Linked DNA regions of Rattus norvegicus. The protein of the gene in region 2 interacts with the protein of the main gene of each other region in a pairwise test. Links are inferred from orthologs where the notes say so. Each region holds a gene or a part of one and is shown on either strand. Other genes may lie near its edges.

What was found.
Region 1: the proteins of Tfap2a (region 2) and Gsto2 interact in binary tests that used the Homo sapiens proteins (3 or more experiments, as listed by UniProt). The two-hybrid records come from large-scale screens. The link is inferred for Rattus norvegicus from reciprocal best matches to the Homo sapiens genes TFAP2A and GSTO2.

Annotation. Positions count from the first base shown.
Region 1 is NC_086019.1:256,691,605-256,696,380, forward strand, and holds the end of Gsto2 (glutathione S-transferase omega-2), read left to right. Parts: intron 1-1,985; coding exon 1,986-2,092; intron 2,093-3,239; coding exon 3,240-3,411; 3' UTR 3,412-3,550; downstream 3,551-4,776. UniProt on the Homo sapiens protein: Exhibits glutathione-dependent thiol transferase activity. Has high dehydroascorbate reductase activity and may contribute to the recycling of ascorbic acid. Participates in the biotransformation of inorganic arsenic and reduces monomethylarsonic acid (MMA).
Region 2 is NC_086035.1:24,235,132-24,241,698, forward strand, and holds the start of Tfap2a (transcription factor AP-2-alpha), read left to right. Parts: upstream 1-2,551; 5' UTR 2,552-2,839; coding exon 2,840-2,866; intron 2,867-4,105; coding exon 4,106-4,540; intron 4,541-6,567.

The DNA.
Region 1 (4,776 bases), on a different chromosome or scaffold from region 2:
TGTTTGCTTTCCTCTGCCTTAGTCAGGTTGTCTTCCCACAAGCTTCTCCAGATTCCTCAGCCTATGTCTGCACAGTAGTGCAGGGATCACCGATGTCCTATCTGGCTTGAGCTATTTTTTCACGGGTTTTTAGGATTTGAAGTTAGGTCCTCACACTCGGGCGGCAGGCACATCTGCACGCTGCTGATCCGTCTCTGTCACCTTAGATTATGTTAAAGTTGATTCTTTTGAGTGCTGCAAACACCAAATACCCCTTTGCAGGCTCTCCCGGTCTCAGTGTCTGGGGTTCAAAGAGTGGAGTAGCATTGTGTTTCTGAGGTACCACATTTACACACAAGGGAGCTCCTATGGAAGATCCTAGGGACAGCTGCAGGTCTCCAGGGAGGCCAGGCCAGGTCTAGTGTCACAAGGAGGAAGCTGTAAAGGAATCTGTGGGGAGGCCGGTCTCCAGCGCAGGAGAATGAGGCTTGCCTATACACCGTCCCCTCTCCATGCTGTGACCAAGTGTGTGACGAGGAGCAGCTTAGGAGGAAGGGATTATTTTGGCTTATGATTTAAGGTTCCTGTCAATCACGGCAAGCAAGGCCTAGTGGCAGAAGTGTCACGGTGGAAGTGGCACGTAAGGCTGCTCGCACACCTCTGTGAGTGACAGGAAGAAGGACCAGCTGCCGAGAGCGTGGATGGCCTCAGCGGGTTTGGCAGTTGAGCGCCTCCCACTTTGTTCTTCCCTTCTGTCTTAGTGACTTTTCTGCTGCTGTGATAAAACACCGTGACCAAGGCAACTTGGGAGATTTTGGAATATGCTTGGCGTTTGTTGCTGTTTCTACTCAGTGAAGTCTGCCTTGAGCGTTTGAAATAGGATCTCTCAGTGGCTCGGGACTCAGAGTTGGACTCTGTCAGGGACTCCGAGGCTCCACCTGTCTGAACATCCTAAGCTCTTGGGGAAGCCAGTGAGGCAGCCCTTCTCCACGGGCTCCTTACATTCGTGTGGCCAGCCCTTTACTGACTTAGCCGTTTCACCAGTTCCGAATGTACTGTTTGACTCTTTCATCTAAGATGGAGATCTCAGCCTAGGCTTCTTTCCACAGTCACCTGGCCTAGCAGCCTCTGCCAGCAGAGGGGGAAGTGCTGAGCTGGCTGCCTGCTGTGTAGGTCCAGTGAGCAGTGCACTTAGCTGGGAGCTTGGCGCCCTGGGGCTCTCTCAGGGCAGTTCAGCAGTAACTATTTTTGTGTTGGAAACTGCAGGCCTTTCATGGCTCTCTGGTCATGGTCAGTCAAAAGTCTGATTGCCTTAGAGTCCACCTGTGTGGTCCCATTTGTCCCATTCGAGAAAGACTGAGTTTTGTGTTATTGTAGAACGTTAGTGATGCTGAGTGTCAGGAGCTTGAAGGATTGGAATAAAAGAGGAAAGTATGGTAAAGGCAGCCGAGGACGCAGGGAAACCCACTGAACAGCATTGTCCCGTCTAGACCTAGCCCTGAAGCCACTGAGAAGGCAGAAGAAAGACCAATGGGGTCTGCAGCATCCCTGAAGTACAGAGTAGGCAGGAGATGAGGTCACGACTCCAGCAAGTGGGGTTTCTAACTGCTGGTATTTAGCCTCTGGCTCACATTTTCATGTCTCTGGGGAATGGGCAGGTGTTGGCTCGAGGCAGGGCATCCTTGCTCCAAGCTCGTCTGCTCTGGAGACAGCCTAGGACTTGGAGGAGTCTGGTTTAGACTAAGGGGAGGACTAGGCCACCTCTTCCTGAATTGCTCTTCCCAACTTGTCCAGTCAGTGAGCCGTGTTTTCTGTTGGGCGTTGAGGAGAGGCAGAGAGCAGGATGTGGTCAGGACATCGTGGGGAGGGAAGAAGTGGTCTCTTGGAAATAGGCAGGCAAGCTAGCTCTCCTTCCTTGTAATTAATATGATATTTATATTTGGCATCTGTGACACATGTCAGCAAACACATAAACTCACTGGCTGTTGTTCTGTGTATATTTCTAGATTCTTGAATATCAGAACACTACCTTCTTCGGTGGAGACTCTATATCCATGATTGATTACCTCGTCTGGCCCTGGTTTGAGCGACTGGATGTATATGGACTGGCTGAGTAAGACATCTGACTATGTGATTGCAAATTGAATGAGTGCCAATTGTCAAGAAGCTCTGGGTCCCACTGACTCCCCTGTGGACTGTCTTGGGATGTTTGTGAAACAAAACTCAGGGCTCCATACTGCTCAGGCATGCTTCCGTGTCCAAATGCATATATTACCTACATGTCTATGGCTAAGGCTCAGTGTGCAAAGCCCCCCAACCCCCATTGCTTCAGAGCCCACCGTCCCCCATGTATTCACAGACACGCAAAATAATCTAGTTCCCTCCATCGCCACACACATGGTCCTGCTGAGTCACGGGGCACATGCCACGCAGCCGAATCCCCTCTCATGTCCTCCCAAGTAGAAACGCCCTTTGAAAACCAGGTTTCAAAAGCAGCGCATGCATTACTCTTCATATAAACAAAGTAGCAAGCACGTATCACACAGGTGTCACACTTTAAAAGCTTTGTTTTAAAACTTTGTTACCTCAGAGCCAGGCCTGTGTAGTGTTGCTGATGCAGATTCCAGCCAGCCATGCCACAGGTACCTGACATCTCTAGGATTTGCAAAGTAGTTCTTTAGATCAGACATAAGACTAGGTGGTGAGATACACAGGTAACTCATAAACCCATCTCCTTCCAAGGCAGCGTGGAGATCCTGAGATTAGTAAGACCCTACCAAGTGTCCTGGCCTCCATCCCACCAGTTGTCTTACCTTAGCATGTTGTCTCTCAGACCCTAGCCCTGAATTCCCTTGTTCATGTTTGAAAAGGCCAGGGTTTCAGGGGTTCACGCTTGTCTTAAATTTATTTTTAAAGTGTTTAGGAAGCTACTCTCTTTTTCAAAGCCCTAAAAGTAAAATCTGCAAATGGCCTAAGACGGTTTACTAGAGAGGCTGTCAGTCAGTCAGTCATGAAATGAAGAGGCTTGATTCCCCTGCCTCAGTTCACAAGTGTTCCGCCACTTTCACAGAAGCCACTGTGACAGTGTCAACAGTTGGACACACCGGTCCAAGTAAGCCTTGTCCTCAGTGAAGATCAGGTTTACTGCATAATAACTAAGCTTATCATATTTCCCAAAGAAACCCAGATTTTTGTTTCTTTATAATCTACAGAGTGAATAGTGTCCCCTTTCCCAACCTTGTCCTTTCCCTGTCTTGCAGCTGTGTGAATCACACCCCAATGCTGCGGCTCTGGATATCCTCCATGAAGCAGGACCCCGCAGTGTGCGCTCTGCACATTGATAAGAACATTTTCCTGGGCTTCTTGAATCTCTATTTCCAAAACAACCCTTGTGCCTTTGATTTTGGGCTGTGTGGCCCAATCGTACGGTAATCCAGTCATTGCCCAGGATTCTCCTCATATCTGATTCTGCATCACGGGTCATCTTGGAGTCAGTGTATTTGTTTTTTTGTTTTTTTTTTGCTTTTTTGTTTTTTTGAGGTCCCTAATAAACATGGACGTGTAAAATATAGTCAAATTATCATGTGTCTGACTCCTGCAGCCCGCAGCTTCTAATGATTCCCTAGAAAGTGTCCAGCACAGAAGCACAAGTGCATTTTGGGAGCTAGAGTGACCCCTGGATGCCTGGCCTCTGGCTCGTTTGATTACTGGTTCCAGTGCCGGTGTTACCAGCCTCAATTGACAGACGTTTAGATTGGAACTCTCCAAAAACTTCTCTGGTGAGAAGAGACCTTGAGACGATGGGGAAAGAAGGAGGAGAAAGAAGAGGAGGAGATGAGGAAGGAAGGAAGGAAGGAAGGAAGGAAGGAAGGAAAGGAAGACAGACAGACAGACAGACAGACCCCACCACACACATTCTATGATTAAATACGTTCTTTCAGCAACGAAACTCTGCTGGCCACATGGGAAGGCGGGTGTATCATTCCTGTTCAAACTTTGGCCATGAGCCTGGGAGACACCCAAGGGTCTCGTGACTGGAAAGAATTCTAGAGCAGGAAATGAAACACCCGTTTATCACCCTAGACTAACTACGTCAGGATCTCACTGGTGTTGCCGGAGCTCAGGATGTCTCACGAAATGTTGTATTAACCAGCATCCTGTCTCGAAAACACCCTCCCCTCTAATCCCTCTCACGAGCAAAGGTCACTGCTGGATACACGTCACACAGCAGCTGCTTCCAACAGATGCCTCTGGTTGCTTGGTGGGTACCAAATCCTGGAGCACGGGAGGATAACTGATGGAGACACGGGTCCTGCCCCATGGAGATCTTTCTTCTCTGCACCAGCTTGGCCCGGGGGGTTAGCTGTGTACTAGGACTTGCCTCGCCACGATGGTCTGACTTGGCTTCCCTTCGGACCCCCATCAACTTGACCAGGCAGCGCCGTGGCACCAACGACTGAGAAAACCTCGGTCTGCCAGCAGGCGCCTTCAGCAGAAAGCTGCTGCGACCACTTCCTCCGCAGGAGGACTGTGCCATGCTGATTTATCCAGTGCATCCTCATCTGCCTGCGATCGTCTTGGCTTTGTCGTCTCCTAAGATTCTTCCAGCCTTTCAGCATCCCCAGCCACGCCCAGAGGCCAGGCGACAGCAAGTTCGATGTTCTGCCTTAACGTGTCCCTGATTTGGACTTGGCCCAGACCGACTCCCCTACCCCTGCGTCTCCGCTGCCTGTGCCAGCTGCTAGTTATGGGCTTTCCCCCACCATATAAATAGTTACCAGGTGCCACTCCATGCCG
Region 2 (6,567 bases):
CCTTGAAGTTCTAAGCAGTTTCTCCCGCCGAGCTTTGGGGTGGACACACCCCATGGTTGTGGTTGGGTGCTGGTGTGTTACCAGCCTCTCGGAGCCGGGGGCGTGGGAGGAATCCCTCTTCTACCTGTGGGCGCTAAACAGCGGGACCCTGAAAATCCTGGGGCGACTGCCGATCGTCTCCGGTTGCCGATAGTCCACTGGGATCACAGAGGACTCTCCCTTGGGAACCCATTTTAAAACCCAGAGCCTCAGAGCATAACTTTTGGGACAGCCAGGGAGGCATGGAGAAAACACCAACGGCTTGTGCAGGGGATGACCTTAGCCTTGTTAATTTTTTTTTTTTTTACAAACTCCACTGAAGGGAGCTGATGAGTGCGTGGGGGTGACTGAGGGGTGGGAAGCCCGTGATTATCCAAAACTGTGGTAGCCTTGACTTTCGCTATTCTTATTTCGCTTCATTCCTTTTGGCTTTTGGGGTTTCTGGCTGAAAGGTCTGCTCGCGGGCGCAGAGGCAAAAATTCTGTCTCCACTCGAAATCAGAAACTGGGTTTACATGAAGGAAGTGTCACCCGCTCCCTCCACTTTGCTTTTAAAAAGCCATTTTACTTTCTTTTTCCTCTCCTGCTCTCTCTTTACCCCTCTCCACTCCTAACCTGGCGGAGGGGACACCAGGTGACAAACAATATCCGTGCTTCTTTGGGGGGCTCCTGTGGTGCGCCGGAAGGGGCACAGGAACCCCACATAGGACCAGCCAGCTTTGTTTTCTAGGCTAAGGGTACTTTGGCCGGCAGGCCTAGGTACTCCTGCGACTATTTAAGAGCAGTTTTTTCCCTTAGGGTTTTGGGCTCCCTTCCCAGGCTGACGCTTTTTCACTTTCTTGGAACCCAGAAGTCAGTTCGAGATACAAGCGCCCTGAGTGGAAGTGTTAAGAACCTTCGTGTGGCTCTACACACCAAAGGGATCTCGAGGGTAGGGCGCGAGATGAACTTGAACCCCCCAGAGGGACTCTGGAGGTGCATGAGAGAGGGTTGGGAGAGGGGTGTGATGAGACTGGGGCCGGGAAAAAAAGTCTGGACAATTTCAACAACTTTGGTGGCGGCGGGATAGCCAGCGCTGGAGCAGGGATTTCAGGTTTCCGAGCGGGCTTGGAGTTGTCTGATTTAGCTGAGGCTCTGCAGGGACACGCAAGAGGCGAGGTGCCGCTTGTTCCGACAACCAGGCGGGCAGACTAGCAGTGGCGACGCGCGGGGAGAGCTAGCCCTGTCATCTAGGGGGTGTCGGCGGGAGTGGCCCAGCCAGTCCGACGGGTTTGTGCAGGGAGCCAGGAGCCCTTGCCAGAGGCGCCCAGGCTGGGCCGCTTCGCGTCTGTGCGCGCCCCGGGCCGCGTTCCGGCTCCGGCTCCCGCTCTCGGAACCCGGTCCGGGGACCAACCGAGATCGGAGCAGTCGCAGCCGACGAGCGCACGGCTCCGAGGTCCTAGGGAAGGCGACTCGCGACCAGGCGGAGGACAAGGGTTAGCGAAGCGGGCGGGTTGCTCCCAGGCGGGACGCCGGGCCATGGAGGAGCAGCGAGGCAGCGGGCAGCCGAGTCCCGAGTCCCAGGCCCCGCTGCGCAACAGAGAATCCCGGGGCCGGAGAGCGGCGGGAAGCACCTCCCAGGCGCAGAACTCGGTGGGCAGCGGCCAGCGGGTCCCCGGAGCTCCAGCTCGCGGCGCGCGACCCCCGCTCCATCCCGAGGTCTGCCCTAGCCTTTTAGGTCCGATTGTCCTCCCTCGCTTCCTCTCCCCCTCCCCCCCCCTCTGCCGCGGGCTCCCCCTCCGCAGCTCCGGCTCGGCCCCCTCCTCCCCCTCCTCCTCCCTCCCTCCTGCCCTCCCTTCCTCCTCCCCGGCGCTCCCTCCTTCCTCCCTCCCTCTCTCCACTCCTCTCTCTTCTGGTCGCCCACACTTTCTTTCGCGCACACGCACGCAGACACATCCTCCCTCTCCGCGCTCTGGCCCCTCGGCCTCCCTCTCTCGCCTTCTTTCTCTTTCACTTTTGCAGGCCCTGCAACCTTTTAAAATGTTGCCCCTTTGCTGTGATTCGCCAGTCGCCGCGCCGCGGCCCCCCGCACGCTCGCCCGCTCCCTCCGTCGCTCGCTTTTTGTCTCTCGCGCTCCCTCTCCCCACCTCCGATTTGCTACACTGAGACTCCCGTCAATGACTGCATTGAGAGCCGGCTCCGGCGCGAGTTGCCTCTCCGCTTCACGCTCGATTTCCAGGCATTCTTCCCTTATTAAGTATTCGTGTAATATTAATAGTCATGAATATCTGCTATTAGGAGGCTCCAGGAACGCTGCCCAGCGCGGTTATTAGAAGCTGAAGTGAAGCCGCCGCTAAGGAAAGAGGGGGAGACACGGATTAAGGAACACGCGCGCGCGCGCACGCACACACACACACACACACACACACACTTTTTCGTATTTTTTGGTGGGTTTTTTTCTTTTTTTGGTTTGGTTGTTTTTTGTTGGTGGTGGTTTTTGCTTTTTGTTTTTCTTAAAGAGCTCTGAATCCTAACCGATCCCGGGAGGATAGAGATCGTGGGTTCGACCAGTTGAAGGCGCCGCGCGACTCGGTGATACAAGTTCGGATGGATCCGAGCGGGGCTCCGACGCTCGCGGGAACGTCCGCGCGGTGACTGGAGTCCTGGGTGGCGCGGGGCTCTCGGCGCCTTTTGTGTGTGGCTCTTTCGGGCCGCCGGGCAGCCGGGTGCTCGAGGCGTGGTGCTTTTTGCTTTTTGCTTTTGTTATTGTTGTTGGTTTTTTTTTTTCCTCACCCTGACTGGTTACCCCAGATTCTTCGCAGATGTTAGTTCACAGTTTTTCAGCTATGGTGAGTCCCACCCCACCCCCAACCCTGTTTCCTTAGGAATTCTGTTCCAGAAACCCGCAGCCGAGAAACTGCCCGAGATCCTGAGCTTCTTGGCCAGGGTTCCTTGTGGACCTCGCCTTCCATTTGCATTCCTATCCCCCTTTCCTCTTTTCTCTGGCTCCTTTCCATCCCCAAATCCAACGCGTCGCCACTGCCCTGTCCCTGCTAGACCTCTCCGCGCACGCAGACCTACCCCGCAGCTCTTTCCCTGGGCCAGTTTCTCGCCGGGTTTGTCTTTCTTTCCTTGCGTCTTTACTAGTTTCGGAGACGCTCTCCACAGCTGATGTTTAATCCGTCTGTGGGGGGTGAAAGGCGCACCCCGGTGTGTCCCCTAGCCTGGGGCCTGATGGCTAAACCTCGGAAGGTTCCCGCTTTCTGGAACCCACCCTTGTCTTGCTTTGCAAGGGAATTGCAATTGAGAAACCTAAAGTCAGGGGTTTCTTTTGCCCTTTGGGGCTGGGGTGGAAGGGGCGGGGGCCTCCGCCCCGGGGTGCACCTCTTTCTTTTAAAAAGAACCCGGTAAGACAGAATCTTTCTGTTTTAAACCCTGGCTTGGCGTCCTTCACTCCCCATTCATATCATAAAAACGACCCTGTCGTGTAAAAAGCCTTCTAACAGAGGAAGCGGAAAAGACAGACCCCCTCCCCAACCATGCAGTTAAAACCTTTAAGCTGGTCATTTAAACGTGTGCTTTCTTACGGCCTCTATGTGAAACATGTTTCTATTTAATAGTCATGAAATGGTAATAGTCTTTGAAGGTTTATGATTTTCCCCCCTCAAGATTAATGGAAGAGTAAACAATAATGCCTTGGCAGACAGGTTCAAATCCGGGAAAAGCAAAGGCCGCTTCTCCTGTTTAATATTTAGTGGCTATCTGAATTTTGCTTAAGGGAGGTTTGGTACTGCGGCTGTTAAGGGTTGTAGCACAGGACATACTCTTTTATGTCTTCTTCCCTCCTTTGAGAGGAATGTCCGGGAGAGTCTGTTGTGCCACTAGATTTACATATTCTGATTTCTTTGCATTTTTTTTTAGAAAGGCCTGCTTCACTTCTTGGGTGTTTTCCAATATGAACAGTGTAGAGTTGATGCCCCTAGTTCGGTGGCCTGCCCACACTGGGTTTGTGGAATAGATCAAGTAGGATAGCTGAAACCCTGAGCCTCATTTCTTTTTCCTTCCCTTTCTGTCTTGCTTTCTTCCAGGACCGTCACGACGGCACCAGCAACGGGACGGCACGGTTGCCCCAGCTGGGCACTGTAGGTCAATCTCCCTACACCAGCGCCCCGCCGCTGTCCCACACCCCTAATGCCGACTTCCAGCCTCCCTACTTTCCCCCGCCCTACCAGCCTATCTACCCCCAGTCGCAAGATCCTTACTCCCACGTCAACGACCCCTACAGCCTGAATCCCCTGCACGCCCAGCCGCAGCCGCAGCACCCGGGCTGGCCCGGCCAGAGGCAGAGCCAGGAGTCTGGGCTCTTACACACACACCGGGGGCTACCCCACCAACTGTCAGGCCTGGACCCTCGCAGGGACTATCGGCGGCACGAGGACCTCTTACACGGCCCGCACGGGCTCGGCTCCGGGCTCGGGGACCTCCCGATCCACTCCTTACCTCACGCCATCGAGGACGTCCCGGTAAGAGGCCGTGCAGGCCACGGGAGGGAACGCAGACCTAGGCTCACCTGCCCGCTGGGAAGCTTCGTGGAGCCCAGGCCCTCAGGGCCTTGGTTTTCCTCAATAATAGTTGGGGGTGAGGGTGAGACTCACTTGAACAATCGACTTTTGAAATTAAAAAGTAATTGAGAACAATGCTTCCTGGAGCTCGCTCAACAAAGCCTGGGTCACCACTTCCAACCGACACAAATAAATCTGGCGATTGTCACCCTTCAGGTAGCTTCTCTCCGAGGCGGTAAAGTGTGTGGATCGAGGGAGAATGTAATTCCACTGCTGAAGGTGTCGTGTGTGTGTGTGGGGGGGGGGGTTTCTCGCTGTTCTAGGAAATAGGTTACATTTAATCTAGAGAGCTTTTCAGATGCGCTCACAAAGTAAAAGAAAGTATGGGAGACTTAGGAAAAGGTCCTTGAACCGGCTTTTATAAGCATTAGTAAAACCTAGAAGTTATGCCTTCTCTATCCTGATCAAAGGGACATAAGTAGCAAATCCGAGCACAGGGACATTAAAATGCAGCTTTCTTCTCTTCCTGGGGGTGCTAAGTGGTGACCTCATAAATCATTAGCTAGGTTCCCAACGCCTATCAGAGTCTGCTAACTGCATATTCAATTAAATGTTTGGAGACTATTGGGTGCTGTGTTGAGTTCTAATTCAGTTCTCAATAAATGCAGTTTTAAAATAATTTCTAAATAAGCAGGGCCTTAGCACACGTACTACTTAGAATGTAGCCCAGGCTATTGATAATTTGAAAATACGTTTAAAAATTAAATTGCAACCAGCATCTCAGCCTCAGCTCTATAAATTTATGACTTTCTTACAATCGTCCTGAAATGGAATATATATATATATATATATATATATATATATATATATGCACCGTTAAAGGTGCTTTTCTTTGGAAAGGAAATGTATCTGGATGTGATTTCTGCTAAAATGCTATTTCAAATTACTACATCAAATATAGCAGTGGTATGTCTGTTGACAGTTTAATGATTACTGAATTAGATTGTAAGGAAAACGGGCCACATGGACTTACCTGATTGCCTGGCGGATTTAAAACATTCTTGAAGTTCTACAGGAAAATAGAAAATTTATTACCTCTCTCATTTAGCCCAGTTAATCACTGAAATTTGTTGGTTATGCTTAACAGCCTTGCAAGGAACACAGAAAGCAGGCACTTGGTCCAATGCAAGGCTTAGTAAGCTCTGTGTGTGTGTGTGTGTGTGTGTGTGTGTGTGTGTGTGTGTGTGTGTGGTGTGTTCATATTTACATGCTTTTAGAAAATGATCCTTAGTGAATTTGAGGCAATATTTTATAAAAAAGTAATTTTGAATAGAACTAGAAGTTACGGTGATTTTAGAGAGGCTCTGAATTCTTTTCTTTGCCCGTTCTTTGAAAACACTCAAATAGCAAGTAGTATCTTAAGCTTTGGAGTTACCCTGCATTGGACATAGGTCTGCTTTTGCAAAAATGTCCTGTGGCTGGTGGGAATTCTTGATACCTGTGTGGTAAATCTTTGTGGTGAAATTGGTCAGTAGGAGAAATTAACCAAATGATCACATGAAAGCAAGAAGCCCAGCGTTCTTCTCACCCTCCCCCACCTTTCAAGGGGAAAAAAAATCTTTCAAAGGAATTTGGGTCAGGAAAAGGGTTGTTTTCAATTTTCTCATTGCTGCCACGGTTAACTTTTAATAAGAATGGCTGCTAAATATTTAAGAAAATCAAGTCGATGGTGAAAATTATTTAATCATTAATATCTCAGTGGGATTTTAAACTTAACAGTCTTCCCTGTATGGACAAGGTCTAGCTAGAAATAACAGAAATAAAAGTATTATGCCACACTACATTTACTTTATGGGTTTAGGGTGCATGCATAAAGGGATCATATTTCCCCATATAGTTAAAACACAAGAACTGCAGCAGTAGTCATTTCTGAACATTTCTCAATTTAATTATACTTAAATCCAGAAGCACTTTAGGCAAGTTACAAA